Saccharomyces cerevisiae S288C: one gene and its partner. The protein of the gene in region 1 interacts with the protein of each later gene in a pairwise test. Each region holds a gene or a part of one and is shown in the gene's direction. Other genes may lie near its edges.

Region 1 (16,428 bases):
CAGAGACAAAATGATGCATCGAGGCCTAATGGCGCCGTGGAATTAAGGCAATTTCATAGAAGATCTTTGGGAGATTGGGAGTTCCTTGAAACGGTTGGCGCAGGCTCTATGGGTAAAGTTAAATTGGTCAAGCATCGTCAAACAAAGGAAATTTGTGTAATAAAGATTGTTAATAGGGCTTCCAAGGCTTATCTCCATAAACAGCACTCTTTACCTTCCCCAAAGAATGAGAGTGAGATATTAGAAAGACAAAAGCGGTTAGAAAAAGAAATTGCGAGGGATAAAAGGACTGTTAGGGAAGCCTCTTTGGGCCAAATCCTTTACCATCCTCATATCTGTCGTTTATTTGAAATGTGCACTATGTCAAACCATTTTTATATGCTTTTTGAATACGTTTCCGGTGGACAGCTGTTAGATTATATTATTCAGCATGGCTCATTAAAGGAACACCATGCGAGGAAATTTGCCAGAGGTATAGCTAGTGCGCTGCAATACTTACATGCCAATAATATTGTTCATCGAGATCTGAAAATTGAGAATATAATGATATCTAGTTCAGGTGAAATTAAGATCATTGATTTTGGTCTTTCCAACATTTTTGATTATAGGAAACAATTACATACGTTTTGTGGTTCCTTGTACTTTGCAGCACCAGAACTATTAAAAGCGCAGCCATACACAGGACCTGAGGTAGATATTTGGTCGTTTGGTATTGTTCTTTATGTCTTGGTCTGCGGTAAAGTACCATTTGATGATGAGAACTCAAGCATTTTACATGAAAAAATAAAAAAAGGTAAAGTAGACTATCCTTCACACTTATCCATTGAAGTTATATCTTTATTAACCAGGATGATTGTTGTCGACCCATTAAGAAGAGCAACATTAAAGAATGTCGTTGAGCATCCATGGATGAACAGAGGATACGATTTTAAGGCTCCATCATATGTTCCTAATCGTGTTCCATTAACCCCTGAAATGATAGATAGCCAAGTTCTGAAGGAAATGTATCGCCTAGAATTTATTGACGATATTGAAGATACAAGAAGATCATTGATCCGATTAGTAACTGAAAAGGAATACATCCAACTTTCCCAAGAATACTGGGACAAATTATCCAACGCCAAGGGGTTGAGTTCAAGTTTAAATAATAACTACCTAAATTCAACGGCACAACAAACCTTAATACAAAATCATATTACAAGTAATCCATCGCAAAGTGGTTATAATGAACCAGATAGTAATTTTGAAGATCCTACTTTAGCATATCATCCATTACTATCAATATATCACTTGGTTTCAGAAATGGTTGCACGGAAATTAGCGAAGTTGCAAAGAAGGCAAGCATTGGCCCTGCAAGCGCAAGCTCAGCAAAGGCAACAACAGCAACAAGTAGCACTTGGCACTAAGGTCGCCTTAAATAATAACTCCCCGGATATTATGACCAAAATGAGGAGCCCTCAGAAAGAAGTAGTACCTAATCCTGGTATTTTTCAAGTGCCGGCAATTGGAACATCGGGAACCTCAAACAACACTAATACCTCAAACAAACCTCCACTGCATGTAATGGTTCCTCCTAAACTAACAATACCGGAACAAGCGCATACTTCTCCAACATCTAGGAAGAGTTCCGACATTCATACGGAATTAAATGGTGTTTTGAAATCAACACCAGTCCCCGTGTCTGGCGAATATCAGCAACGTTCTGCTTCACCCGTAGTAGGTGAACATCAGGAAAAGAATACAATAGGCGGCATATTCAGAAGAATATCACAAAGTGGACAATCTCAGCATCCCACACGGCAACAGGAACCTCTTCCAGAAAGAGAACCTCCAACATATATGTCAAAATCAAATGAAATTTCCATCAAAGTACCGAAAAGCCATAGTCGTACTATATCAGATTATATTCCTAGCGCTAGAAGATATCCATCTTACGTGCCAAATTCTGTTGATGTAAAACAGAAACCCGCTAAAAACACTACCATAGCACCTCCTATAAGGTCAGTATCACAAAAGCAAAACAGTGATCTTCCAGCTTTACCTCAGAACGCCGAACTAATTGTTCAAAAACAACGGCAAAAACTATTACAGGAAAATCTCGACAAATTACAAATTAATGATAATGATAACAACAATGTGAACGCTGTAGTCGATGGTATCAATAATGATAATAGTGACCATTATCTCTCCGTTCCGAAGGGTCGTAAGTTACATCCTAGTGCAAGGGCTAAATCGGTGGGGCATGCTCGTCGTGAATCTTTGAAATTTACTAGGCCGCCTATACCAGCAGCCCTTCCGCCATCAGATATGACAAACGATAACGGCTTTTTGGGAGAGGCAAACAAGGAGAGATACAATCCTGTTAGCAGTAACTTTTCGACCGTTCCTGAAGATTCTACCACATACAGTAACGATACTAACAATAGACTGACTTCGGTGTATTCTCAGGAGCTTACTGAGAAGCAAATTTTGGAGGAAGCTTCAAAGGCACCCCCCGGGTCTATGCCATCAATTGATTATCCAAAGTCAATGTTTTTGAAGGGTTTTTTCTCTGTACAAACAACCTCCTCTAAACCATTGCCTATTGTTCGTCACAATATCATATCTGTTTTAACAAGAATGAATATTGATTTCAAAGAAGTGAAAGGCGGGTTCATATGTGTCCAACAAAGGCCATCTATTGAGACTGCAGCTGTCCCTGTTATAACCACTACTGGCGTGGGTTTGGATTCCGGAAAGGCGATGGATCTGCAAAATAGTTTAGACAGTCAATTATCATCCAGTTACCATAGTACAGCGTCCTCAGCATCAAGAAATAGTTCGATAAAACGCCAAGGTTCTTATAAGAGGGGCCAGAATAATATACCACTAACACCTTTAGCGACCAATACACATCAAAGAAATTCATCTATCCCAATGTCTCCAAACTACGGAAACCAAAGTAATGGTACATCAGGGGAACTATCTTCCATGTCATTAGATTATGTTCAACAACAGGATGATATTTTAACAACATCAAGAGCCCAAAATATAAATAACGTAAATGGTCAAACAGAGCAAACCAATACTTCTGGTATAAAAGAAAGGCCTCCTATTAAATTTGAGATTCACATTGTAAAGGTTCGTATCGTCGGCCTAGCAGGTGTACATTTCAAAAAGGTTTCTGGTAATACGTGGCTATATAAAGAATTGGCATCGTATATTTTAAAAGAATTAAACCTATAGATACGTTGTTCTTACTAAATATTTCAACGTGTGTCTTTCAATTTTTATTATCTAATATTTATCTTTTTTTAATATTATAGTATAATTTATTTAAGCTGAGATCTGCTTTCTTTAATCTTTCATATGATGAAATAATAGTTCTACATAAATCTATAAGAATAATAAATAAAGTAAAACAACTGCAAAAAACATCGATGTCATCCAGGATCCTTGAAAGATTTCACTCTGGAGAAGAAAAAAGATTTCTCATTTCTCAACGAACAGTTAGATGCATTCCCTTCCTTATCCACTACAATTGAACTTAGCCATTTCAACCGTTGATATCTCTTATTGCCTTGATTCTTGATTTGGAATTCTTCGATAAACGTATACTTTTCATCTGACCTTGTTATCTTTAAATGACCAAAATCATAATCAAATCCGAGGCTCCAATAACACATATGACTATGCCTGGGTTTGTTCTCTTTGGAGAAGTGCTTCACGACAGCGCTAGGTTCATCTGTAGAAAGTAATCTCAAACATTGGCCGTTCTCATAAAATCTGAAATACCTGTAATAGGTGATCATGTGAACTGGCTTTAAAAGAGATAACGAACTTTCTGCATTGGAACCGTATCTTACATAATTTACTACACTGATGTAAACACCTTCGAATTTAATATATGGCCTTTCCCTTAACATACGATAATCATCACCCCGCCATATTTCCTTTTCAAAGGTATTTATATCGGTGATTCCGTTAAGATCCATTGCCATTTTGTCGTATATTTGCTTAGAATATATGTACTTCGCGAAAGTTTTAAATGGCACAGAATCGTGGAAGCAAAGCTTGCTAAAGGTGGAACAAGTCATCGACAAATTCACCCAAGATTCACCAGACATTAATATAACTTTTTTAATAATTCTCAGTAAAATGTCGTCAGGCAAGATTTCCAGAATCCAGCAGGGTTGAAGTTCAGCATTTTCTTCAACAGATAAGTCATCTTTACCGGTTTCATTTTGTTCATCTGGAGCATCAGTAGTCATTGATAATCCCGATAGTTTTTTGTGCAGCATCCACTCATCAAGTATTTTTTTTCTGTACAGTGATTCCACATTATCATGGATTTTCAATGCACTTCGATAGAAGTTTATAGCATCTGACATTGACCCATCCTTCTCTTTCAGTACACCTTTTTCCCAAATAGCAATAGCCTCTTTAGCCCTAGGGTCCTTTTCATAATCTACTATCATTTGCTCCTTGAGTTTAGCTTATGGAACACATGTGTCGTCGCCAAAGATGATGGGGAATGTTTGCTTTTATCTTGCTCAGTCGATTTCGCTATCTAGGAACTACAATCCTTTTTTTTGTCATTTGGAAGGCTCTTTAAAATTCCGAATCGATAAGTTCGGAGGTGGGAAAGGATAGCGGTATATTCCTTCCCAAATAAAAAGGCTACAAACACATTACATAAAGAATATTTGTTCAAGTAAACATATCCTCTTCACTCAAGATTACTTCGACAAACCATCATTGGTGTTTCCACCAATCAGCATATCAATCTCATTCAATAAAGTAAAGTCAAAATTGTACTCTAAGGCAAAATCGTTACCGTGAGATAGAGTCCCTAATAAATCCATAGTTTCTGAATTATGCAAAGCATCTTCAGAGTTTTCTATGAATTTTCTAGCAAGTTCGTAATTCAGGGTAGGCGCACTTAAAAAATTTAAGAAGTCTTGTTTTCTATCCTTTTTAATCAAGTTGGACTTCATGCATTGGATGGCTAAAATCGCAGAATAAATCATGTAAATTGTGGCCTTCTCAAACGTCTTAAATTTATTTTTCCAAACTTTTAAAAGATAATACAGTTCATCAACATAACCTTCAACCAATTCCCGGCTTTGTTTGATTTCGTATATGAAAGGTTTATTATAGGAAATTAGCACGATATAGTAATGAAACCATACGTAAGCTATGGTTGGGTTAAAATCTGTCATTTCCATCAATGACCTCTTGGTCCATTGTAGTTCAGGGGGCAAATCCCTTCTCCAATTGTATACCTCCAGATTAAATTTGGCCAAGTATTCACTCCTTTGAAGTAGAGTTTCGTTTGGGCTGAAAATCTTGGATGCAAAAATCTCCGTTATTCTCGATAACACAATCAGTTTCTTCAAGGGGTTTGCAGTGGACAATATTACTTTTGGGTCATATATGTACTCCTCTATACCAGTCTCAATTTCAGGTAGCTCGTCTGTTTCTGGAACAGTGGAATTGGACAAACGCAAGGAAGTTGATCTTCCAAAGAGGATCGCTATTAAATGATCAGCAATGTAGCAGCCCCAATAAATTCTACTTCTCACTTCAAAATCCATTATTGACAGCTCGTCTTCATAAACATTACTCCATGCTTCTGGATTCAAATGTAGGCCGATTTCGTGGGCAATCCTAAATGCCAGCCCAGAAAGATACCAAGCCATGGGGTTTTCTCCGCTTCCAATGTCATAAAATGCCAAACACAATAGAGTCTGGATGATTGCTAATTTCGAAGAGGACGACGATTCAGCTAACGAAGAATCTTCCAGTTGAAAAATTTTTTTGAGTACTATCGTCTTGGCTCTTTGATAAAACACTTCAGATTGTTGAAAAAGCTCAGTTTCTGATTTGTATGAAATCAAAGATCCCAATGCAGCGATTGCAAATACCAATTCTTCGGAACAATAGTAACTTTTAGTGTTAGTATCACCGAAGAAAGCACTTAAGAAAGTTTCTCTATGAATGAAAAGGTAATGTCCCGGGTATAGCCATTTGAAAAAGAGTGACAACGATCTTAAGATAAGGGGACTTCTTGATAAATTTTTTAGGCTGACCTGCTGTTGCTGATATCTTGTGCTTCCATCCGTCTTCTTTTTTATTATAGACAAGGAATTTGATGGATATATACTATTTGTGCCAACTGGTGGAGGGCTCTCGGAAGGCATTTTCTTGGTGAACGCATCAGACTCATTCTCATCGTTGCTTTCAGATGATGGTAGTGCTGATTGTGCTGTTTCGCCATACTTTAAGATTTTTTCATTAGGAGCATCACCATGATCACTGTTGTTTTTTAACGAGGAGAGAGCATTGCTAGCAATTGTGGAAGACGAGGAACTTAATATTTGCAACTGTTCTTTCAAAGACCGAATCTGGCTCTGTAAAGCTTCTACGTAAGTCGTAGAATATCTTTTGTTCCTTAAGTCTTGTTGAGTGAATACACATTCGGTACGAAACTTGATACAGTTTGAACAAGGCTTTTCCATGTTACATTTCCTTCTTCTTCTACGGCAATTCTGGCATGCTAGTTTTCTCTTCCTGGGCACGTTGTTATTATTCTGGTCATTATCTGTCACAGATTTCTTTAAACTGGACGGAAGGGAGGGTGTTACCGTTGTTGTTAAAGGTGGAGGTGAAGGCTCCAACATCATTGCTGCGATTGTGTAGAGCTTCGAGTTTTAAAAGGGCTATTTTTGAAAACTTACGGCGATGTCAACTTGTTGATTTTGCTTTGTTTCGTTCGGGATGGATCGGAACATCCGCTCACATATGAGAGGTTTACACTCTTGATGTATATGTTGCTCTATCTTGTATACGGTTAAGTAAAGTGATGTATTATGTATATGTATGTATTTATATATATATATATATATATGCGTGGTTTTCCATATTGTATTTTTCTTCTCTACTCTATATAGGCATTACTTTGACAGGAACGAGACTAAAGAAGAGGCAAAGTGCTGCGGGTTGTCCAGGAAAAGATTATGGCCAGCATCAGGGACTTCAACGTAGCTAGCCTTTGCCTTGTTTTTTAGCATTGATTCAGTAGTCAAGTAGCCCGCATATTTATCCATCCAATCGTGCTCGCCATACATGAACATGACAGGCGTTGCTGGGTTCAAAAAACGAACGTTGTTTATTATCGGATCTCTAGCGATCAGATTCCTTTCAAACAAATGGGTGAACACCTTGATTGTCTGTGGTTGCACCGTCTGGTTCTTCCCGACAAATGAGTGCAAAAGATAGTCCTTATATATCTGATCCGGAACTTTTACGTATGCGGTGGAGATGTAGTTCGAGCACAATTTGGAGCCTATGGGTCCCATCCACTTCAAAACGTTTAGCTGGTTTTCAAAGATAAACCGCGGTACGTTCAGCTTTCTTGTATAATATCGGGACGATGGGTCGGTAAACGTAAGTGGATAGGTGGTGTTGGGCTCCCATTTGTGGGTGATAGCATGTATACTGTTTTCCACACCAAGAGGAGATATGAGACACAGTTTCTCAATGGAATCAGGGTACTTGAGGGCGTATTTGAATGAAATATATCCTCCGAATGAATGGCCCACCACGTTTATTTTGCGAAGCTTGTTATCCTTCCGCCATTGCTCTATCCTGTCTACGAAGTAGCTTTCGTACTGCTCCAGGTGTGACTTGATGTCCTCTGCTGGGGGGCGCTTCTCTATCACAGGGATTACTACGTCATCTTCTATATGCTTAAACCTGAGAGACTTGATCTTCTTGGTTTTGTTCACTTGCAATGCTGGCGCCTCTGAGGCACCATTGGCTGGCAAGTCGATGGCATATAGATCTTTAATGTTGTCTGACAGGTTCTCAAACGTCCTGTAGAACGCCATCGACGAGGCAGCGTATCCATGGATTAGTACTGTAGGCGTGCACACTTTGTTCGCACGCTTATTGTGGAAATGCCACTGGTTAATCCCGCCTGGAGTCATCGTGTTATTAACGGACCCACGCACAGTGGTGCTATCCATAATTTGCTGCTGCAGGGCCTTCAGGCCCTGCACGCTAGCACACACCTTGGCGTCTGCAGTAGTGGTCTCCTTCTCAGTTTTGCTGCACCATTTGAAAGTGTTTGTCCACATTCTACTGAAGAAAACTACGCTTACGTATGTATATGTCCTGAACAATGAGAGAAAGACCTGCGAATATACTTCTACTACTCCACGTACAAAAAAGAGCACGCTGCTTTATTTATACTTTTGTGCCACAAGAATGATCAACATCAACATAAATATCAACTAGTATCTGCAACACATCTGCTCCACGGAACTAAACCCGTTGAGCAGTGCCCCGTGGAAACGTAAACTATCGCAAATTGGGATTAACAAGCCAAAAACAGCCAAGCAAGATTCACGAAACCGCGCCTCGTTTGGACCCCGAAGGCCCATTTAACGGCCGGCCGTTACAAGCAAGATCGGCAGAGCAAACCACTCCCCAGCACCACAGCACATCACTGCACGAGCAACAATAACTAGAACATGGCAGATAGCGAGGATACCTCTGTGATCCTGCAGGGCATCGACACAATCAACAGCGTGGAGGGCCTGGAAGAAGATGGTTACCTCAGCGACGAGGACACGTCACTCAGCAACGAGCTCGCAGATGCACAGCGTCAATGGGAAGAGTCGCTGCAACAGTTGAACAAGCTGCTCAACTGGGTCCTGCTGCCCCTGCTGGGCAAGTATATAGGTAGGAGAATGGCCAAGACTCTATGGAGTAGGTTCATTGAACACTTTGTATAAGTGTTTGTTGTTTATGTATCCGCATATAGCAGTTATAACAGATAAATGGCACTTTTCGCACACCCGTTGTTTTATCTCCGATAGTACGTGGGCCTTTATTTATGGTCGTTTAACGAAAGAACGGCATCTTGAATTGAGCAGGTATTTAAAAGATAGGACGAGAAACAAGCACATGATCTGTGTCGAAAAAAAGTAGCAAAGAGAAAAAGTAGGAGGATAGGATGAACAGGAAAGTAGCTATCGTAACGGGTACTAATAGTAATCTTGGTCTGAACATTGTGTTCCGTCTGATTGAAACTGAGGACACCAATGTCAGATTGACCATTGTGGTGACTTCTAGAACGCTTCCTCGAGTGCAGGAGGTGATTAACCAGATTAAAGATTTTTACAACAAATCAGGCCGTGTAGAGGATTTGGAAATAGACTTTGATTATCTGTTGGTGGACTTCACCAACATGGTGAGTGTCTTGAACGCATATTACGACATCAACAAAAAGTACAGGGCGATAAACTACCTTTTCGTGAATGCTGCGCAAGGTATCTTTGACGGTATAGATTGGATCGGAGCGGTCAAGGAGGTTTTCACCAATCCATTGGAGGCAGTGACAAATCCGACATACAAGATACAACTGGTGGGCGTCAAGTCTAAAGATGACATGGGGCTTATTTTCCAGGCCAATGTGTTTGGTCCGTACTACTTTATCAGTAAAATTCTGCCTCAATTGACCAGGGGAAAGGCTTATATTGTTTGGATTTCGAGTATTATGTCCGATCCTAAGTATCTTTCGTTGAACGATATTGAACTACTAAAGACAAATGCCTCTTATGAGGGCTCCAAGCGTTTAGTTGATTTACTGCATTTGGCCACCTACAAAGACTTGAAAAAGCTGGGCATAAATCAGTATGTAGTTCAACCGGGCATATTTACAAGCCATTCCTTCTCCGAATATTTGAATTTTTTCACCTATTTCGGCATGCTATGCTTGTTCTATTTGGCCAGGCTGTTGGGGTCTCCATGGCACAATATTGATGGTTATAAAGCTGCCAATGCCCCAGTATACGTAACTAGATTGGCCAATCCAAACTTTGAGAAACAAGACGTAAAATACGGTTCTGCTACCTCTAGGGATGGTATGCCATATATCAAGACGCAGGAAATAGACCCTACTGGAATGTCTGATGTCTTCGCTTATATACAGAAGAAGAAACTGGAATGGGACGAGAAACTGAAAGATCAAATTGTTGAAACTAGAACCCCCATTTAATATATCTCTGCGTACATATGTATATATATATATGTGTGTATATACATGTATGTCTGTATAGAAAACGCATATCAACTGATATATATACACGTGAAGCAAAAAAGGCATTGCCTCTGTCAGAGAAACGAACTATCCTCGTTGCTATAGTGTCTTCTGCACTTATCGCGTAGACTTTCTATTGGCACTCTGTCATGGCATTTAATCTTGTACACATTCTTTAATTCTTCTTGCAAAAGAAGGTACTCTTCATGCAAATGATGACTTTGGAGTGAATTGACTAATCCTGAGTCGTTCCAGAAACTTTTTAAGGCGTTCGTTTCATGATTTATTATGTCATCCAACCGTCTCATATTAGGTTTCGAATTTGTTACAAATTCTCGCCTTGATAACCTCTCCAGGTCTTCTTTGTTGCATCCAGGTACACTCTCTAACAACATTGAACCATTGCCCTCCGGATTCGCACTGTCATATTTATTAGCCTCTTCGCCGCACATGATGTCAATATCGGGTCGATAGCTGTCTATGCCGTCTAGATGGCCCACCTTATGAAACACAAGACAATGTGCTGCCCTTTCGGCTTTCAAAAAACTGTCAATTCTACTTTCCCTTAGCGTATTGCGCTCACAAAACGGTGAATAATCGTATTGCTTTTCTTCCTCGATGTGGCTCAAAGTATTCAGATAGTCGACTTCGTCTACGTCCATATTTATCCCATAGAGATCATCTGCAGTCCTCTCCTCTAGTACTTCGCCTGTTATGGGCATCGAATCATCATTTATTACCCTTGTCGACCTTTTCCGTAGCGGTGTGGTAAAATTGTTAAAGTTGGCTTTGTTGAACCTTGGTGTTTTCCAGGGCGGCAATGACGGTAGTTGAAACAACTTGCCTTCGTTCTTATCACCATTTTGGTTCATCTTACTTTGTCACAGCTATTTCTTTCCTTCCTGAATTTGTCCTTCCAAACCTAGTTCCCTGTTCTTAATTTCCTTTTATTTAGGTTTTTTTTTTTGTTTTGTCAAGAGCCGCGCACAAAATATGGTATTATTATAGAAAAGTTGGACTTAAAAGCTTGAAAAAGCTTAGATTTTATATTCATATGCTGGTATATATGTACGACTAAATAATATAAATTTGATTATAACAATCCACTCAAGGTCAGCTTCTCCAGGAATGGTGAAAGATCTTCACGACGTATTTCAATTATGGAACTTTCAAAATTATCTATTCTCACTTTAGCATCCGTTTCTGCAGTTATTTGTTGAAACGCCATGCTGAAATTATTCAAAATAGGTTTTTTTGTGTGTATCGTGTCTAGTCCGCGAGGATACCTAGGTGTTAACCCAGCAACCAAGTAAGTGTCCGTATTTTCATCTATGCTGGCAAGCACCATGGGCAACAATTGCTTGTCTTCAGATTCCGCACAGCATTCTATGAGCCAATTTCCTAATCTTAATAACGTCAATGGGTTTCTGTACAAGTCTAAATCGGGTCCGTCTTGTAAGACGCATAATCTATAAATTCTTAAATGCTTGATTAATTTCTTCTCCAATATAGCAACCCCGGTATTAAAAATTGCTCTCTGTAAGTCTTGTGCTAGTTGAATGCCACGGTTTAATAGTTCCACCTTTCTGTCATCTAGAGCATCCCAACTGAGCCAAAAATTCGAAACCCATCTTTTTCTCAAATTCGTCAATTTTTGAGCGCTGTTATCTTCTTCTTCCTCTCCATCTGTATCGTCATTATTGTCATTATTTATTTTCACACTATCCTTATCAGTTGAATTACCTACTTCCAAAAGAGCTGTTAGTGCTTCGACAAATTCACTGGCACTTATGGACCCACGATATCCAAGAGTTCTAACAAACCCATCTCTAATTATATCTTGCAACCCATAACGATCCAAATTTTTGTCAAATATTATCCCAAGTTCTCTCTTAATAGAATGATCCATGTATAACCATGTTTCTTGTGCAGTACTTAATGGTATACCCATTCTAGCAAACATCTTATGCAATCTCTTTTTCCCATTTTCATTCCATAGGGATAGTTTGGCATTGACATAGTTAGAATAATAAAAACTGTCGTACAATGAAGAATGCCTCAGTAAGAAAAGGTAGTAATCCGGTTGGATGTTTAACGTCAATGTATCAGGGGTCTTTACTGAGTTTCTACTGCTTGGTGTGAGACGCTTCACTTCATCTTGCAATAAGGGGTATAATCGATTGTAAACTTGAGCATATGCTATATCTAACGAGGTCGTACCAAGTATATTCAACCACAGGTTTGAAAGATTTGTTTCTCCGATAGCAGACAATAATGAATAGATTTGTGCAGATATCGAGTTAACCACTGTTGTGCCTTGAGAATAGTATTCCTCCAAAACACCTTCATATTCATGGATTTGCTTCTTTCGTTGCTTTCTTTTTGAGAGATCATTCGGTCCTATTGAAGAATTACCTCTTTTATTAGATATTGTCTCATCTTCGTCTTCTTCGTCCTCGTCTGTGACTTCATCGGCATCAGTTGCCTCATCGTCACCCCCATTATTATCGTTCTCGTCACCTGAGAGCTCATCGTCACCACTCTCCTCGTCCAGTTCAAGCAATTTATAGTATGCTTCTTTTTGTTCGCCTAATGTGTCATCCACCGTACCGTCGTCAAAACATTGGATGATTTGTGATCCAAATATATTGTCGAGATTCCACGGTCTATGAGCATCCAACACGTAGATGTCTCTCCTGAAACTTTGTTCCCCCGACTTTTCATCTGTATCGATAACATACTCTTGGGGATCGATTTCTAAGAAAGCCTCCAGATCAATAACGCCTCCAAACCCTACTAATAGCAGACTATTTATATTGTCATCCAATTGAGAATAGTGGCGTCGTAATTCAGAGTACCCAAATATCGGTACTATTTGAGATTGTACCAATTGTTTTTTGAATAATAGTGACAACATCTTCGTCGCACACAGCGCATCGATGTTAAGACAAGAAACGAAAATGACCAATTGACATGATGAATGAGACGATGAATTCCTTAAGATTTTGTTGTAGGCTTCGCTAAACTGGCTGATTCCATAATACATGTGCGAGAGTATATTCTTGTTATTATGTGCCTTCTCTCTAGTGTTTATTGCTACACTTTTATTGCTCTATAGTGCGTTGTATAAAGTAGCCACAATGGATTGTTGGCATTACTACAGCTTCATTATTTACTGAAATTTCTTAAAACGCGTTAGATGATATGTTGAAAAAAAAATACGCGTCGTGAATGAAACTTATTAGGTTTTACGACTAGTTAAAGCAAGAGAGAGAAGATCGAATTGACTAAATGTCTTCACTTTGAATTTATTCTAGTAGGATTCGCATGGCTTTTTCATAATAAAAATCTCGTTTATTTATGCTTTTGGTTGGTTTTCCTTTGATAAATGCGGCCCTTGCTTTGTTTGTGGTTGCAACGAGTTCGTCAAATGATAAATTGACGCTTAACACAGACGCATGGGAACCACGTAATTGAATTAATGTTTTCTTCTCGAAACAATTGCAATGTGACTTTCTTGTTAGGCAATGTGAGATGAAAGATGGCCTTTACCTTTGCAGATGTTTGGGTGTGGCTCTGAGCTGTCCTTTATAATTATAGAGATAATTTTGATGAAAGCTCAGAAGACCTTTAATGACGAAAAATAGGCATGGTTTGCCAGGCAAAAAACGACCAAATTTTACTGTAGTATGAGTCAAAGTCGCTGGAGTATCGTTCTCATCTTTGCATTGTTTATTTTTGGCAGCACTGGAGTGAATGCCTTCTTCAATTTCGGTCATCATCAGCAACAGCAACAGCAACAGCAACAATCATATGAAGATCAAGTTTTAAATAACCCTTGTGATGGGTATTTGTGTCCGGACACCCTAACGTGCGTTGCACAGCAGAAAGACTGTCCTTGTCCCTTCCCTAAATCTCAGTTGAAATGTGTCCTTCCTGATAATAAATTTGTTTGCATATCCAAACCAGCCACACACAATGAAAAGTTTAGAGCAATATATGATGACCCTGTCAAGGGCCCCAAAGCAAAGAACAAGGGGTTTAGGGATTGTGGATGGGTATCAGATGCTTACAAAAACCATTGAAATCTGTATAAAAAATACATACACATACATATATACATACGAAGGATTTATCTTCTCATTGATATTCTAGTCTCTATTTCTTCCGGGAACCCATCTCTTATACAATACTTCACCAACTTGAAAACTATTGAACAATTTAGTAAAGTTGTTTGATTTCCATAGTGCTATCGCCTCCTGTTCCGAGATTAGTCTCTCCACGTAGCATAACACAAACGTCTTCTTTGCGCCGCCCACAACACGGGCTATGCTAGAATACCACGTATAATCTTTAGAGACGTCGTGGTCAAGACCCATAACACAAAATTCAGCGTGTTGAAATGGTGGCCCTCTCTTATATAATAAATAATCGCAGCCGAATTTTATACCAGATCTTACGCACCAACCGTGTGATCTGTAGTGATGGTATATAACGTATGATCTGACAAAGGAGTGAATATCTTTATATTTGGCATCGAATTGAAACAGTTTCCCTGCCAGGCACGCGGGAGATATGTCAAGAACAGGAAGTGCAAAAGTTAAAAACATAGCTTCCACTGGCATTAGTTCTAGTGACTCTAGTGGCAAAAGATCACCGTTCTCATCAAGAAGATTGTTGTCTTCATCTCTTAAATTTGATTCGGAAATGTCTTGCTGTTGTGCAACGATGCCCACGTCTTCTGTTTGTTTTAGTTTAAATTTTCTTAATGATTCTCGTTGTTTCTCAAGGAGGATGTTTTCCTCATCGATATGACCACCTTTTTTTCTTAATTCTAGTAATTCTCTTTCTAACTTCGCACGTTCTTTCTTGAACTCTAATCTTTGTAATCTCCTCTGTTGTGTGACCTTCTCTAAAGTCATCTCCGTTTCAGTATTACTCTTTGTTCCTCCCCGATTGTGGAGGGGAGTATCATTGAGACCCAGTCTGGCCTCTGTTCTAGCTTTCCATGTAGGCTCACTCCTGCTAAATTGACCAGTGCCAAAAAATCCATTATTCCAAAGATATAGCATTTGCTTGTCATCTTGAACCGTGATGTGAAGAGTGGTATCTCCTATAAAATCTACATGTACTTTATCGTTCAGTGCGTTCGTACTCTTGTAATAGCGGTATGCCCAATATAGCCAAGATAACGGATTATGAAGGATTAACTCTGGAAGGTCATCTACGGGGTGAATTGGAAGAGGATACTTGTAACGCTTCTGATTGACCCTCCCTTTAGACATGCTCCTTCTTGAGTCCTTCGTACTTATTGTCTTTTCAGCGTCGTGTTACAATGAAACGTTTTAGCATATTGAATTTCGATGGAAGTTCAAATGTTTTATGCACCGAAATGAAATACTAGAGCAAAGAGATGTTAGTGAAAGCACCAGCTAATATAGCTCTTTCAAATTTACGTGAAAAAGTTATGTGTGGCAATATAAATCTATAGCAAGAGTGGCTTCTATAAAACATTTTTGACAAGAAATAAAATTCAGATACCGTTGTAGTCTTGAGAAATCATTGTGCTCACATCGATTAACTTCGAGCAACATAAATCATGCTATCATCATTAAAATAAAGTGGAAGTATTAAGAACAGATATAATAGCACGAGAAAAAACTCGTTCAACTAAGTCTAGACACACCTCCTGGTGTTATTTAGTCCGTTCTCTTAACAACCAAAGCCTACGAGCTCTCAAACAGCTCTTTTGTTTTAACTTCCTATAGAACTGAATGGGAAACTTGCATCTTGAAGAAAATTTTTCTCTTTAAATATCTGACTGAAGTATTGATCCCTTCAAAAAAAAAAAAAAAGAGAGTTGGTTACCCATATGGGAATAATATTTCTTAGGGCTAATTGACAAAGGATTGCTAACAGAAAATGCAAAGGACTAATAACTTGAATCATTTTTATATCAGGTTTATATAGGTATACGTTCAGTCTAATTAATAATTTATAGTTTACAGTAGTTTTTTACAGTAGTTTTTTTTTTTTTTTTTCAGTTCCATGATTTTTTTGTTCCTTTGATTCGTGTAGTAAACCTCCTCTTCTTGGTTTTCACGATATACTTAGCTGGATGCCAGGTCTGTAAAGTATTGACGCAAAATCAGTGAAAGCATTTCGGGTAGTTCGCTTATATCGTGTACAACAACATAAAATTCAAAAGGAAATGTGTCCAAGTATTTGGTAATCTTTAATTGCGGATTGCCATACTGATCTGGAATGTAGTTCACTTGGCTCATGTCTAAGATGGATTCATTAGAAGTAATACCATCTATGATGACAAAAACCAGCATAAT
Region 2 (16,974 bases), on another chromosome or scaffold:
AATGTGTAAATGATGACCAGAATAGCACTGAAAGCGCAGTTGAATAATCAGATATGAATGTTCTGATCCTATGAGAAAAGAGGGGGTAATAATGAAATAATTTAAAGAAAAGACCAAACGCAGTCATAACCAGCGCCACCACGACACTAGCAAATCCGTCTTGTACTGATTTCTCCCCTGATTTAGCACTGAACTGTCTTGTTAAAATTTGTATTCCTTTTTGAATGTAGACCACATTAATAAATAATCCAAATATGTCACATGGGAACGTAGTCACGTATTGCAAGAGGCAAACGGCGTTCGTAAATGCTAAAACTAAATGAAAAATCATAGACCACATACAAATCCAAAACATGAAGCCAAAATAGCTGGTATTCAAAGGCTTTATAATTTCGTAGACCGTATAATTAAAAATAGAGATGGGGCCAGTAACACCCACTATACATAAGGGCTGTCCACCAAGAACTCCAAAAACAATTCCAGCCATTGCACTGGATAGAAGTACTTCGTTCACACCATAGGAATTATCAGTCCTATCAAACATATCTTGCGCAAAGGCTATTGCAGGTAGCAGGTTATTAAAGTAGGTGTCAACAATAGAGGGAATAACTCTGTAATTAAACGCATCTACCCAATCTGACTTGTAATACGGTATTCTGTCCTTCAAATCGAGCCATATGCCTATACCTAGCGTCGGGAATCGACGTCGGGATAACTTCTCGTGGCTCTCTTCATCACTTCTACTTTCTGATACCGATGATTCTCTGTCTAGCTCATCGTTTGTCCGTTCCAATGCTTGCGCACACTCGTCGGAGGCTGTACAACCGCGACTAACGGTAACTCGTGTGCTCTCATTCGACATGCCTTGCCAGCGCTATTACTACTTTTTGGATGATAAAGGATATGAGTATGATTATTGCGATATGCTTACTTTTACGCCACGAGTGATCTAAAAATTACTTCAGTGATGTATTTTCCCCGCTAAACGAAAAAAGTTTGAAGTAAGCTAAGGCTACAGGGAGAAGAACAGTTGTTCATGTAATGTCGAGTGGCAACGCAAGAGTGGCTGTCTACAAGTGCGGTCAAAATGTGGAAAGCTCTAAAGCACTAGCTATTACTCTTCTGTTTTTTTTTTTTTTTTTCATTCTTCTTTCGTTTTTTAACAACGAGGACAAAAAAGAGAAATCTACTACTACCGTTAGTGTTACTAGAAACTTTGTTATAGTTAATTAATGCTGTTTGTCTATATATAAATATAGATATAGATATACATGTACTGGTTTATCTATGTTATGCCTGAGGTATGTGTGGTATCTATCCCTACCAGTTGGTAACTTCTTCGGCCTCACCAAAGACAGACGTCTTCGTTTCATCGTTACCAACGTCACCTCCCCAAGCTCTTGGAGCGGCATCGGTAATGGCCTTGCAGTTGGTTTTTAAAAATTGTACTATCAGTTTGTTTATCAGCTTAAACTCCAATAGGAAGGCATCGTGGCCTTCGGGAGATTCAATTTTTTCTAATTGCGACTTCGGTATGTGCTCAGCCAAAAATTCTTGTTCTGAATATGTGAACAGTCCATCAGATTGGATACCGATGATCAGGGATGGTTGTTGGATGGTAGAAAGGACCTCAGTGATGTCATCTACTCTGTCTCTTGCCAAATCGTGCGTATCCAGTTTACGTGTGATGGCAATGTAACAATTGGCGTCGAACCTATTGATGAACTTTGTGCCCTGGTACCTCAAGTAACTTTGTGCAGAAAAATACGTCTGCGCAGGCTTTATGTCCTTCACTTCACCCGTTACAGAACTTACCGAAGTCATCGATGTTGAAGAATTCAATGAATCCGAAGAAGATGCGGTGGACACCACGCTTTGACCTTTTTGCCCAGAAATGCCAGCGATGGCAGTGCTGGCTTTTGTTTTATACCCATCATTGTGGATTTGTAGGGAGTGTTCGCTGACAGTAGATGGTTTGCGTGTCTCCTCCCTTTGAGCTTTTTGTTGTTGTGCTATTGAAGGAGATCTTCTGGAGAATTTGTTCTCGAAACTGTTTCTTGTCCTGTACGTCAACAATGCAGACATACGTGCAGCCGATAGTCCGGCCACAGGTTGCTCCTCTACCGGATAGTACCCGTCCAAGTAGTTGGGATCTGAGTAAATCGATTGTCTTTGAGCCTCAGACCACGATATGCACCAGGCAGAATGTCTTGCTGATGTCGCCAGAGCAACCATATTCTTCACATATTCCTTACCATACATGGCAGCCCATTCCAAACTCAGCATCCCCCCCATAGAGCCACCAATAACACAGGCTATTGACTTTACTCCCAGAGAATCCAGAACAATTCTGTGAGCTCTAACGTCATCGCGCACAGTACATAATGGGAATTCGGGTCCATATCTAACGCCCGTCTCCTCATTTATCGTTAATGGCGAAAAAGACCCATATGGAGAGCCCATAGAGTTTAAACATATGATAAAAAACCTTGATGGGTCGAATGCTAAGTCGTTACCCAGAAGAGGGCCCCACCAGTCAGCAACATCTGCGGACCCAGTCAAGGCATGACAAATTACCAGAACATTATCACCAGCTTCATTCAGTGTACCCCACGTCTTATAAGCAATAGGGAAATTATTTATGACCACGCCAGACTCAAGCACTAGTTCCGGAACTTGAACAATCCTCTGCCCTTGAACTAGTTTGAGCAATGGGTTAGTTTCCTTAATCTCCTCAATGTCCAGCTCTTGGAGCGTTTTCGATTTTAAAGTATGCGACATTCCTTTTATACTACGTTTTTTTCTTTCTTTTCTATTATTCCAAATAAAGAGAAACTTTAGACGGACCCTGTGACTAAAAAAATTATCGAAGACTTGACTGTTCTAGAGTTACTTTTGTTTATTAAAAGCAAGAAATATCCGTGAACAAGATAGCAGGTAGGTTGTACAACGAAGCGGAAGCTCATCTATTGGACGCAGCTGTATTTTGAATATATATATATATGTAATGTGTATATTTGTGGGTGTGTGCCAAATCCAAACGATTAACATGACTTAGTTTACTATCAAATGAGTGCATCCACAATTTTTTGCAGGCAATGTGTGGCGCCTTCCGCAGTGAGGCGCATCACGTGAAAATACGTCAATGTGGGGAGCCACTAACAATAGCAAGAAATAAGTACAAGTAATAGCATAACCTTGACAAACTGAACTAATGTAAGCGTTTTTCATGACTAGTGCTTTGAAGTACAATTTATACTGCTCAGAGGCTCATTCGATTGTGTGTTTTTAGCAACTTTATGAAGAGAGTGAAAAGAAATATCACGTGATTATTAGTAGTCTGCGATTTTTTTTTTTTCAGTTTTTTTTTTCCCACTAATACTGGCAGAGAGCGTAAAGGGGGCAATATATGGCACATCTTTACTGGCTGTCCATAATAGGCAAGTGTCATGTGCCCTAACAGAAAAAAAGTTAAAAATTGCCCGGAGAAAATACAAGAATCTGTCTAAATGTATATTTACGGATGAGACACTACTTATATAGTTTAGTTATTATCATGAAGTATTATTACAATCGTGCCCAGAAAGTGAGATGAAAAACTGGGATACGGAAGCCTGGCGCTTGTTTCTTTTCTTAATTGTCTCTCTTTTTGTAAAATTACAACCAGTCGGTCGAGTTACTGGGCATATGGGTTCTTCGTAGTTGCAGATGGCATGAACTGTGAGAATCCGTCCTTCTTTTGTGGACGGGCTTGGGAGTTTTGCAATTGTGGTGCCGGCGGACGATAGTAACCAGCACTACCGTTTTGAGGCTGGTTCAGGTTAGGGGGCGGACGGTAGTGTGCGGATGGTGAGTTAGGTGTAGGCCATGGCTGCTGAGGCCTAGTATTGTAGTTGACGTTAGCTGGCTGAAATGGTGGTGCTGCCCCAGCATATCCGCCAGGAGAGCCCATGTGCGTATTCATCGCATAAGGTTGGTACGGGCGATTGGGCTGCTGCAGGATAGGCATGGGCACCTGCTGCGGGTGATATTGCGCTTGCATGTTTGGCCTGTTCCCCGTTGAGTATGGGTTTCCGGGGAGATGATATGCTTGTGGTTGTGTATCTGAGGGATGAGGACGTTGGTAAATATTTGAAGGCGAGGGGCGGTTATTCCATCCCTGATTGTATGGACCTGGTGGCGCTCTCGTCTTTGGATTCCTGGGCGAACCCATTGCCGAGTTGTTTGCACCATACATTTTGTTAGGACTATTAATGTTTGCTGGCTGCACGTAGGAGGAAATCTGCTGGCCTGATGGGACTGGCTGGCCCCTCTGAGGGGTAATGCTACGATCAGTTTTGCTGTGGGTGTGAGTGGTATTCAACCTTGTGCCAGGTTTCGCGTATGGGTTACCTATTTCCAGCGGGTTGGAGGGTTTCTCGGGAGACCGCTTTGGCACTTCATGTCGTGATCTGTGTTCCGTTATGTATTGTCTCTCGATATCGTCATCGGGGGTTATGCCCAATCCAGTTGATTGAAAGGCCGCAGGGACCTTAGCTAAGGGTGTTCTATCATCCTTGTTGTAGTCTCTTTCTTCAGCACGCAATTGGTCTTGTGCCATAAAATCTGGGTCGAACAGGTTCATATCGTCCTCGTCGTTATTGTTACCAAAATCCACTTGTGAATATGACCCGTTTATTCTGTCCGAATCGGAGTTTGAATTTATACTTTCCATGCCTAGTTCATTAATTCTTTGGGTTAAACTATTTAATTCTTGTAAAACGGCATGTTCTTCCTCATTGCCATTAGAAAAGTCACTTGGTGTAAAGGATTTTCTTGAATTGTAGTTGCTCTCTGAATGAACTGACGCCCGTTGAAAACGAAGGTAAGTTTCATCAGAAGATCCGTTAAGACCCTCAGTGTGACCAAAGGGACCATTGGAGTATTTTTCGTAGATTGCAGACAAATCTGATTCCACAGAGAGCTTCTTCTCATTAGAGCATTTAGAATCCACAGACAACAGATTTTTGTCTGTCATGAACTTGTCAAAATTGGACTCGGGAATTTCTAACTTCATATTCCGGACCTTTTCCAAACTTTCGTCCACGTTCTTACCACAAGAGGTTTCTCCTCTTTCAAATTTCTCAGGAGTGGTCGCTTTCCTGTCGTTATTATTGTAAGGAACTGTCCTCGACTTGGCTCTGTCTGATGGTGAATCGTTTACAGATGACGCAAACGGCTTGGGATGTCTTTGCTTCGCATAAGGTGAACCTTCTGTCACTCTTGTTCTGAAGGATGCATCAGTAGGTGTGTGGACTTTGTGTGGACTTTCAGATATCACTAGTGGAGGACTTTTACGTTTAATAGATGGACTATCAGAGTTATTAAGGTCCTGTTCAGAAGAAGATGACAATTTTACACGCTCTCTCTTTGGCAAACTGTTCTTCGAGCTGTTATTCGAAGAAGATTTAGACCCGTAAGAAAGTTTCGGTGATAAAACACCATCGGCCCTTTCAAATAAGTCTGCTGAACCAAGGAAAGGAGAAGGTAGAGGAGAAGTAATATTGGAAGTAGAATTACACCCACAGTAGCCTTGTGCTATTTTCCTTTGTAAAATATCACTGATATGTTCCTTCCATTCGTTATTCGACCAGTGTAAGCTTGATACAGAATTAGTCAATGGAAGTAAATCCTCCACTTCCAAGTAGTATATATGTGGCAAAACTGGCAAACCAAACAAAAGTGAATGTGGGTCGTTCTTGCTTGACAATAATTTCTCTGGTCTTCCATATAGTTTAAAAGTATCCATAGCCGGTATTAAAAACCTTATTATAGTGTCATAACTTGGTACAGCTTGATGCTTCTCGGGCATAATAAAGACATCCTTTTCCTGAGCAGACTCCTTTTTTTCAAATTTCACAGAACCTACGACTTTAATGATTGTAGAGGAATCTATTAGTTTAGGGGAGGACGGGTAAACAGCATAAAGCGCCTTTGCCTCTACAATAGTAGCCATTGCATGGTTTTTCTTCACTTTCTTGTCATTTTCATAAAGATTTATTTCACCAAAATGACCCTTTTTCTTACTGCTAGATTGAGAGATTACCGCATAGCAGCGCTTCCACGGCATACCTGCTCCGAATCTGACGCTGACCCAATCCTTGTAATCATATTTTCTATTCGTAAGGAGAATTCTGATATCACCTAATTTTGCGCCTCTACTTGAAATAAATGCGCCTGTGTAAGCCTCTTGTAACGAAGAACATTCGTATAAACATAATCGTATAGCAGAATTCCATGCGTTGAAAGACTCTTTGTTACCGAATTGTAAGAAATATCGGTTTTTCAGCGTAGTAGAAACCACCAATGCATTAGTGAGGTTTTTTCCACACTCCATTACGATATTATCGGAGTTATCCAAAGTTCTTAGTGTAGCATCTGTCAAATTGATATAAGTGGGTTTGGAAGCAACTTCCTTCAGTTTCTTTTCAGAGACCGGACAAGACGGATCAGTGAATTCTGCTAGTTCCTTGGCGTCCCAAAGGGCTAGTTGAGTACCCAACAGTACCCCATATACGTCCTTCCATTTCCTTGCTGCATGAGTGCCATTGTTGTTAAGGTCTTGTAAAATCAAAAACACGCCTTCATGATATCTTCTATGTGTATGTGCATTTAGCAGTGTTAGAATAGGCACCAACTCAGGTGAAACTGGTGAACTTTCCATGGGAGAAGTTGGTGATGAGTCGTTAAGTTTCTTTTTTGATGTTACATTTACTTTTAGTCGTGAACCGAAGTCACCGCCAAAATTCGATGGACTCATTAATCCAGGGTTAGAGGCGAGGGAATCAACTACCTTGTTGTCACCTGAAAAAATTCGCATAAGAGCTGAATTTGCCAAGTAACGTGTTCTTTGTGTGGGGAAACCGAAGTGACAAACGTAATATCGCCTGTCAAAGTTTATAAAAAAAGGATGTTGCAACTAACAATACAAAAGGTAATATCTTTTATTGTATAAGCTAACTGAAAAGTGATCTTATTAACTATACGAATATATGAATACTGTTACTGCGATGATGTATCATTACCCACCATTGCAAGGTGCAATGATTTGACGATAAGGTTTCCGATTCTCTTTGCGTGTTTTTCCTCCGCGAATTTCAAATTCAACGCGAAATGATTCGAACGAGCCTCTTTTTGGTCATCATTATTAAATAGAGTTATGACGGAAAAAGTCTATCAACTAATTAATCAGTCAAAGGTGGCTTTGCGAAGACGTAATCGGAGAATTACCAGAGCTATGGGCAATTGTACGAGCCACACCGCAAGAATGACCAAGGCTACCGTGAGTTCTCCCAGAGTTATACGGTGGTAAGCTCGGAGAATTTTTAAAAGTCCTTCTCTCATATCATTCACAAGGTTCTCCAGTAAGTTTTCTGTGGCGGCAGAAGTGGAGCTTGCAGTGGGTATAGTGCTGTTGTCGGTTTGCTTTGCCAGAGCTTGCTTGATTTGTGTCCCATTAATTCTCGGGATATGCAGCTGAGCCTTGTCGTGAATCCACGTCATTGCCTTCTCTATTGTGTAGAGCTTATTTTCAATGGCACATCCGACCACGGTTTTCATTGGGTTATATAGCAGTGTTCCATTGAATACATCTGCTAAAGTTGTGTCTATATCAGAGATCATGGTGGCCACTGTATTGTTCACAGAAAGTGTTGTCGTGTTTATCCACCCGAATACTTCCTGATTGATATTGGTCTCCGTAGTATTTATATATTTATTAGTCTGAACGCTCCAAAGGCTCATTTGGTTCTCTATATCGACGGCAGTGCTAGACTTCAGCAAATTTTGAACGCCGTCACCATCATTAGAAGTCAATGAATGGCTTATCTTGTGTTTTAACAGTGCTATCATGACAAATTGGCATATGCACACTAAAATTCCCAAAAGTCCAATTCCAAGAACACACAGTGCTCTTTCGGAGGTCATATAAGCCACTACCCATTCTATTTTTTGTTTAGTCTTTGGGTCAATGTTCTCTGGTGATTTTCCAAAGGTAACAAGATTTGTCATCCAGCCTGCTATTCTTGTGTTCCATGTTTGAAAGCACTGCTGATAGCTTGCAATGACATCATATTGGCCATTTTGTATAGGAGGATCTCTAAATGGATCTTTCAATTCGTGCGTGTTTTCACTGGAAAAGGACGTATACGAATCTTGCCTGCTCAGCATGTAATGGTCTCTCATTCCGCAAAGGCGCCTCCAGAGCTTGATTTCATTCCATGCAACGGGCGCCATCGCACCAACAGCGAAGCATATCAATACGGTAATGCACACTACGGTGGCTATTTTCAGGACATGTCCCAAGATGGAATAAAAGGCCAAAATTTCTGATTGATTGGATGAGCAAATCCCAGTACTGTTGTCAAGGGACACGGGAGGTACGTACAAAACGGAGGTATCTCCGATTATATTGCTGGCATTCACGGCCTTGATATTCTTCCGAACTTCATTGAAGGGAACCGAGATCAGGTTCTTGGTTGTATTCTTAACCTGGGCAAAGTCCGGCGTCTTTGCCGATAACTCTTCAAGCTTATCGTTGATTGAGGAAGGAATGTATAAATTGTGAAGCGCAGATATGGTTAAGTTGACGCTTTTGATTGACGACGTCATGTTACTGTCATCGTCATCACCTGTGAAAAAATTCTCTACTTTGGATGCGGCCTTGATCACTTTATTGATTATTTTGGAGATGTCATTCAAGCCCGTATCCAATTCATTAGCCACACTTGAAACTGTATCATTGACTAAGCTAATCAGTTTTTCTGTAATGTTAGTAGCAACGTCCACGGTACCATCAACGGCACTAACAATCAAACAGGCATAAGTGCCCAAATACAGGTCAATGGCAAAGTTTACCAGCCCCTCGCTCGCATATACTATAAGTGATAACGTCTCTAGCGTAGCTTTAACAGTCTCCTCCATACCCTTCTCGATAAGATAATTCCCCATGATACCTAAATAGTGCGGCGTGTTGTCTGTCATCTTGGAGTATAGTGAATCAATACTGTAACAATTGGACAAAATATACGTTTCCGAGACTTCTATCGCATGTTGTATGGATTTGGAGAAAAACAGAAGCTTCAGCATTGCTAGCAGCAAAACCAAAGTATACTTATTTAGCCATATTTGAGAGAGCCTGTCACCCAATTGCAAATAGCATTTAAAACCGCTCATATCATCAACGTTCACAAATTCGAAAGGGAATCATCCTAACCAAATATTTCGGGATTATCTTAAGGACTTATGTTGGTCACATTCGTCATATATATATACCTCTTGCCAGCAACAGGCCAGTTATAAGTTAAAATTAATATGTGACGCACTTCTGAAACAGTATTGAAACAGTATTGAAACATATGTATTACCCGGACTCTGCATGCTCTGTCGTTCATTTTATTTTCACCTAAACGAAAATCCCGTGAAAAAAATTTATATCGCCTTTCGCTCTTTTGTATGTAGGCATCATCGGAAATTTGCATTGTGTGAAGGTTGTGCATATAAAGGGTTTTGCATAACGGACGTTTTTCACGTACTCCGTCTGAGCATCAAGTGAGGCTTGAGTTTACGTTTGTTTTTAATAATCAGTTTTCATTCTACTATTTTCTTGCGCAATTGCTTATCAGATAGACCTTGTAAACAGCATAGGAGTAAAGACAAATTCGGTGTAGAGAATAAAAGGATGGTATCAGCTTTGAATCCCAGAACTACAGAGTTTGAATTTGGTGGGCTGATTGGTGCCTTAGGCATCAGCATAGGGCTGCCTGTTTTCACTATCATCTTGAATCAAATGATAAGGCCCGATTATTTTATTAAGGGATTTTTCCAGAATTTCGATATAGTTGAGCTTTGGAACGGTATCAAGCCATTGCGCTACTATCTGGGCAATCGTGAATTATGGACTGTCTATTGCCTGTGGTATGGAATACTGGCAGTTTTGGACGTCATTTTACCGGGCAGAGTCATGAAGGGTGTTCAGTTAAGGGATGGTTCGAAGCTTTCGTATAAGATCAATGGAATTGCCATGTCTACAACTTTGGTCTTAGTTTTGGCTATCAGATGGAAATTGACTGATGGACAATTGCCTGAATTGCAATATCTGTATGAAAATCACGTTAGTTTATGCATAATATCTATTTTGTTTTCGTTCTTTTTGGCGACGTACTGCTATGTTGCCAGCTTCATACCATTGATCTTCAAGAAAAATGGTAATGGCAAAAGGGAAAAGATCTTAGCACTAGGTGGAAATTCAGGAAACATCATTTACGATTGGTTTATTGGTAGAGAACTGAACCCTCGTCTCGGCCCATTAGATATCAAGATGTTTTCAGAGTTGAGACCCGGCATGTTGTTATGGTTACTGATCAATCTTTCCTGTCTGCATCACCATTACCTGAAGACTGGTAAAATCAACGATGCATTGGTCTTGGTTAATTTCTTGCAAGGATTTTACATTTTCGATGGAGTACTAAACGAGGAAGGTGTATTAACCATGATGGATATCACTACAGATGGGTTTGGTTTCATGCTAGCGTTTGGTGACTTAAGTTTAGTTCCATTCACCTACTCATTACAAGCGCGTTACTTGAGTGTTTCCCCTGTGGAATTGGGATGGGTGAAAGTTGTCGGTATATTAGCCATAATGTTTTTGGGTTTCCACATCTTCCACTCGGCAAATAAGCAAAAATCTGAGTTTAGACAAGGTAAATTAGAAAATCTAAAAAGTATTCAGACAAAGCGTGGTACAAAGTTATTATGTGACGGGTGGTGGGCTAAATCACAGCATATCAATTACTTTGGCGATTGGCTGATTTCATTAAGTTGGTGTTTGGCCACCTGGTTCCAAACTCCCTTGACATATTACTACTCGTTGTACTTCGCCACGTTGTTATTACACCGTCAACAACGTGATGAGCACAAGTGCCGCCTGAAATATGGCGAAAATTGGGAAGAATACGAAAGAAAAGTTCCTTACAAGATCATTCCATATGTTTATTAAGTTTTTCTACCACTGCTATTTTCTTCATTATCTATGTATGTGTGTATACATGTTATGTATTGGGTGAGTATGAGGAAGAAGAAGAATAACAATTGAAAACGCTGGAAAAATTAAAAGGGGCGGTGGTCTATCTATGCAACGCTCCCCTTTTCGTTACATGAACACATCAAACTTGTATATCCTTTGAGTGTTCTTTAATCAAGTCATCTTGGTATTTTAGTAGCGTTTCCACTACTTTAGGGACAAATTCAGACCTAACCAATCCATCAAAAGCATCAAACCCTTGCGACAAAATCGGAATATCAGACTCGTCATGCATAAACTCTGGAATTTCTAGTTTCCCGTCCGCAAGTATGCCGTCATCATCCTCGTCGTCCTTATTAGTATCCAAATTTGTCACTTTGACGTTCATCGACAACTGTAAGTCAAAGTAGCAAATCGGCTTGCCCTTCCTTTGAGATACGTTGGAGTCACCGGTGATGCTACTCACCTGGGTTAACTCAATTTTGCTCTTCCCATCAGAGGAAACAGTGGACAAACTCGTTAATTTACCGTTCAAGTAGTCCTTAGACCAAGGTAAGGTGTTTTTATCCACCCAATGCCAGTTATTTGGATTCAAGACAACCATATTTTATCGTAAATGTGTTGTAACTTTCCGATCGTTTCAAACTTTAGTAGTAGTTTGATGATTTTGTCCAAAAAGTATTTGCTTAAATTTCAGCTTTTTTCTTCTTCATATGTATTTCTTTTTTTCCTCGCTTTCTCTGCCCACTTTTTTCTTCTGTCTTCTAGAAAAATAGGCCTGCGCGGGTAATTTTGTCTACTTTTGCCTCTTCTTCGAGACAATTGGCACTGTAGTTTTCAACAGCTTGACAGATGTGGGCCGATACTTGATAGCATTTAACCAGGGAAACTGAAGCAGATCAACGTTCTTCTGGATCTGCGATACGAATTTCTTGTCGACCCTATCGTCGCACCGCAGCAGCAGCATTCCATATTTAGAAACCGACTTGAAGGTATCCATGGCACTCTTGGGCAACTGCACCAGTTTAACCGTCATGGGCGCCATATAGCATAATAGCGGGATTTGCTGCAAGAGCACAAGCGGTACATCAGGGTCCTTATTGCACACAAATAGACATACTGGGTCGCTGTTTCCGTGAGCGCCGCTCAAATACTGCACAATTTCATTGAAATCTGTATACAGCTCCCAAGGGTAGTTCTCCTTCGATTGAATGTGAATCAACTTATTTATGATAGAGGATTGCAGCAGCTGCCAAATCAATGGCTGATCATGCACGCGCGGCCACATATGTGCTTCGTTTGTGAACGGATTGTCTAGCACGGGCTTATACACCTGCCTTCTTTTAGCTATTTTCTTGTCTAGAGATTTTAACGACCCGGACATGCTACTTACCGTCTTGATTTCCTCACCTTCCTTCTTGTTACAGTCCTCATCTCTATATCACTCATAATCTGAAAAATTTCACTTAAGCACGCAAATGCTATTTTTTACTTATTGCCCGCACGAGAAAATCAGAGAAAATTGAACTATGAGAACGGTATAGATCAGGGAATACATATCTGAGAACAACATCAAATATCCGCCCTGGCAATAGGATGTGCATAATTGCAGTTAAAGAGTGCATCGCATTTCCCCCGATTTTTGTTCTACTGAAAGTATGAACCCTGCTGTCGCGTTGGCCAGAACAGCCAGCTAGACCAATGCACCTTTATCACGTGACTATTACCGGGTAAAGTTACGGACATTTCGCGTTTTTTCCTGTTTTTTTTTTTTTTCGCGGTGCGGTGTTTTGTGGGAATGTGTTTGTTTACGGACTGTTTCGACATTAAGCAGAATGTTTCAACAGTGAGCCATTCTTGATTTGGTCATCTGGGCCCTATCTCCTTTTACTATGAATTTGCATATGTTTGTATGTTGTGATCTAGCACTTCTCCCAGAAGTGCATTTACAGCAGGTTTTTTGTTTCGTTTTATAACACTCTGTTTCGGTCTTTCTTTTTAAGATTGTCAGGGAAAAGAGTTCCAGCGACTGCTTTATACCTGTCCTCCGTCCTTCGAAGAAATAAAGAGGAGAAACCCTCAACGTAAAACATATAAGCAGTTTTCAAATCATCCACTCGCTTTTTCAATTCTTTACTATTGCTCAGCACGACCAACTATAGCTCAAAGCGTGGCTAGCCTTTGATTTACCATTATTGCTCTTTTTTTACTTTCATTTCTACCTTCGTTTTTCGCCAAAAGAAAACAAATCTAGTGAAAACAAACATTGCTGTTCGGTTATAGGACACGCTTTTTTGTATTTTTACAGACTTTCTGGTTTCTAATTGTTTCTTCTTTGAATTTCTTTTTGACCAACAGCATTATAGAAGTGGAATATGCACCTAGATCTCATACACAAGTCCTTCATCTTAGTGTGGCTCATATATATACGAGCCGCGTTGGCTGACCAATTCACATATAAAGCTTGCTATTCAGCTAGTGATATACGAAAATTGGGGTTGACTTACAAGGGTGTTTACGAGTATCAATCAGTTTCCTACTGTCAAAATGAATGCCCTGGTCAGGCTGTCGTTGCTCTTTTCAACGGTACAGGTTGCTACTGTGGTGGTTCCGTAGCTCAGTTACAGTCTTTGACGCAGGTAGATTCGAGCAAATGTGATGTTTCGTGTGCTGGCTGGCCCTACCAAAATTGTGGTGGTTCTTCTGCCATGAACGTTTATATCAATAACGCTGCTTCTACCGCGGACTCAACTTCATCTACTGCTACCTCAACATCGACAACATCTTCATCAAGCACAAGTGTTAGTTCAAAAACGTCCACGAAATTGGACACGAAAACTTCAACTAGTTCTTCTGCTACGCACTCATCCTCTTCCTCGTCTACAACCTCCACTACCACTTCCTCTTCAGAGACAACTACTTCCTCCTCTTCTTCATCCTCTTCCTCTTCTACGTCTACTACTTCTACTACTTCTACTACCTCTAGTACTACTTCTACTTCTTCTTCTCCTTCCACCACTTCCTCTAGCACTTCTGCCTCTTCCAGTTCAGAAACGTCCTCTACGCAGGCAACTTCTTCATCCACCACATCGACCTCATCCTCAACTTCGACAGCAACGGTCACTTCTACCCCCTCATCGACTTCAATAGGTACTTCCACGCATTACACTACCCGTGTGGTGACGCAGTCCGTGGTTTCTCAAGCTAACCAACAAGCAAGCACGATCTTTACCACCAGGACCTCTGTTTATGCAACAGTATCGTCTACGTCCTCCTCTACTAGTTCTCTCTTAAACGGGAAATCGAGCTCGTCCAAGAGCAAAGGCTTGAGTGGTGGCGCCATCGCAGGTGTCGTAGTAGGTGTGGTTTGTGGTACAGTTGCCTTGTTGGCTCTGGCGTTATTCTTTTTCGTATGGAAAAAACGTCGCCAATCTTCTCAGCATGTGGACTTGGAAGAGACAAAGCAGTACCAGCCGTACTCACTGGGTGATGCTGACGCTAACCCTGTTATTCCACCGTCTGCTTCGAGCACTAACTGGCACATACCCTCTAGGAATAATACAGCATTGTCCAAGAATACAGCGTCTACTTTTGCCACTTATGATCTGCCGACAAGGGCGCCGGGCGGCAGAGATTCTATTATTACTGGTGATGCACATAATATCAGCAAAAGAAGTCACTTTCCCTCGGTAGTGTACGAGGAGCCTCCTTCGATCTATAACGGGAACCAAAGGTTCAGTGCTACTTCGCTGCCCGATATGATGGAAGAAAGACAACTACACATTGTCAACCCCGATAATGTGAGTTCAAATATTGGGAGTAATGTCTCAGATGGTGATGATGATTACGATGATGCAAAGGATTCCAATAATAGTTCTTTGCGCTGACTAGGTTTAGATACCAACACTACATATTCATATCAAAGACTTATTCATCCTTTCATATTTCTTTCCTTCATTTTCCCTTTGTATGTATAATATTATTAAAGCCGACGATTATTGCACGAAAGAAAAAAAATATAGATAAAGTGAACAGTACCGACCATATCAATATTGATTTATCATGTTAAAAAGTTAAGTATATGTATAGTTTATCAAAATGAATGTACACATTTTCTATTCTTCACAAATCTGAGGCAATGGGGTCTGTCTCAAATCACCATCAGGCATGTTTACCGTAGAATAAAAATAATATGCTTCCAATCGGATTTGAACCGATGATCTCCACATTACTAGTGTGGCGCCTTACCAACTTGGCCATAGAAGCTCAGAACTTGAGAAAACCGGATATACAAGTGCTACTTAACAAAATGAGTATGGAAATCCTAATCTTCTTACTTTAGTTAGTATAAGAATCTGTGTATATTTGGTGAATAATTTGATGATTGTTGGGATTCCATTGTTAATAAATACTATACTAGAAGTTCTCCTCGAGGACATATGATGTCGTTAGGACGTGATAAAAACCATTTCGTCCTTGGGAGATCACGGATGCATCGAGAAGTTTCCTAGCCAGTCATTGGGTTATTGTGCCGAAATTAACTTTAATCAATCAGAAGAGAGAAACCAAATGGCGTCCCCCAATTATTCACACTTCTGCAAAACAACTTAATTACTTTTCGTTTTTCACAAAACAAACGCAGCTCATATTTTGGGTAGGGCATTCCAAGTATCCATTTTATTGTGCGTTCATTGGTCTCGGTGAACGTAGGACAATATGAGTTCCGATTATACCAAATACCGTAGCAAACTCCTGATTGCAATTAAACAGTATATTTTGCGTATTCTGCGTCGCAAGCAATGTTAGATAAGGTACCTTTATGTACTATACAAAGCTACTATTCACAGCTACTATCTTTATATCCGTTTTTCTATTTGGCAATCGTATAGTTTTCTTACCCGGCTGAAACTCCAGGTAACTGCACTAAACGCAGTGCGTAAAATTAAAGCTCATGACCTTTAGAAGTTGATGAAAGCGGAAAGGCAAACAGGATTAAGAAATAGTTTTACAACCGTAATCGGTCGCAAACTAATAAACACTTTTGTTCCGTCCATGATGTTAACTAGCGTAGCTGGTAACGATATTTTTTTCCGAGGTTTATTCAAATCGCCGGTATTAGCATTTCAAAGTTATCGTTATGTTTCGATTTTGGGACAATTGAAACCGTCAGATGGTTCTACAAAGTCTTTCAAAAGACTTGGGCGTGGTCCTTCCAGCGGTTTAGGTAAGACATCAGGGCGTGGTCAAAAGGGTCAAAAGGCGCGTGGTAAAGTAAAATCGTGGTTTGAAGGTGGTCAAACTCCAATTTACAAGCTATTTCCTAAAATTGGATTTACCAACGTTGGCGCCAAACCATTAAAGGAATTAAACTTGAAACGCATTCAATGGTTTCATGATAAAAATAGGCTTCATTTGCAACCAGGCGAGGTTTTAGACATGAATAAGATGAGAAAGCTTGGTCTGGTAACTGGTCCCATAAAGTACGGAGTTAAAATTCTAGCCAGCGGAAAGTTCCACTACAATCTACCGATTGCTTTGGAGGCTTCTAGAGCATCCGCTAAGGCTATTGCGGCTATTGAAAAAGCAGGAGGTAAGTTTACAGCTCGTTACTACACACCGTTGGGTCTAAGGGCACATCTCAACCCCCAGTGGTTTCTTGAGAAGAGGGGAAGAGTACCACTACAGGCTAGACCCACGAAAAGAAGGGATATTGATTTCTATAGTAAAGAAGAGAAAAGAGGTTACCTAGTAATGGAAAAAGATAAACTCTTACAAGATATCAAAGAAGCTCAAAATAAGGGTTCTAGACACTTTTTAAAACAGAATGTAAAAAAGAGCTCATTAGAAATAGAGCTAGAAGAACTGTCTCCAGAGAAGGATTGGGTGCCAGTTGTGTCTAATTCTAAAGTCATGAA

What was found.
Region 2: the proteins of ERG27 (region 1) and ERG24 interact in a protein complementation assay, tested with the Saccharomyces cerevisiae proteins (one study listed by BioGRID).

Annotation. Positions count from the first base shown.
Region 1 is NC_001144.5:332,809-349,236, forward strand, and holds ERG27 (3-keto-steroid reductase), read left to right. Parts: upstream 1-9,001; coding exon 9,002-10,045; downstream 10,046-16,428. Other genes in the region: serine/threonine protein kinase KIN2, read left to right, coding at 1-3,225; SCF ubiquitin ligase complex subunit HRT3, read right to left, coding at 3,423-4,457; CHA4 (Cha4p), read right to left, coding at 4,719-6,665; lysophosphatidic acid acyltransferase ICT1, read right to left, coding at 6,936-8,120; MIM2 (Mim2p), read left to right, coding at 8,517-8,780; APC9 (anaphase promoting complex subunit 9), read right to left, coding at 10,162-10,959; DNA replication initiation factor CDC45, read right to left, coding at 11,181-13,133; LCL2 (Lcl2p), read left to right, coding at 13,777-14,172; tRNA splicing endonuclease subunit SEN2, read right to left, coding at 14,239-15,372; REA1 (AAA family ATPase midasin), read right to left, coding at 16,198-16,428. UniProt on the Saccharomyces cerevisiae protein: 3-keto-steroid reductase; part of the third module of ergosterol biosynthesis pathway that includes the late steps of the pathway. ERG27 is a catalytic component of the C-4 demethylation complex that catalyze the reduction of the keto group on the C-3.
Region 2 is NC_001146.8:103,156-120,129, reverse strand, and holds ERG24 (delta(14)-sterol reductase), read left to right. Parts: upstream 1-9,718; coding exon 9,719-11,035; downstream 11,036-16,974. Other genes in the region: BOR1 (Bor1p), read right to left, coding at 1-862; MET2 (homoserine O-acetyltransferase), read right to left, coding at 1,321-2,781; YNL277W-A (uncharacterized protein), read right to left, coding at 3,263-3,451; CAF120 (Caf120p), read right to left, coding at 3,677-6,859; pheromone-regulated protein PRM1, read right to left, coding at 7,228-9,213; HCH1 (Hch1p), read right to left, coding at 11,202-11,663; POP3 (Pop3p), read right to left, coding at 11,856-12,443; WSC2 (Wsc2p), read left to right, coding at 13,435-14,946; mitochondrial 54S ribosomal protein uL15m MRPL10, read left to right, coding at 16,028-16,974. UniProt on the Saccharomyces cerevisiae protein: Delta(14)-sterol reductase; part of the third module of ergosterol biosynthesis pathway that includes the late steps of the pathway. ERG24 reduces the C14=C15 double bond of 4,4-dimethyl-cholesta-8,14,24-trienol to produce 4,4-dimethyl-cholesta-8,24-dienol.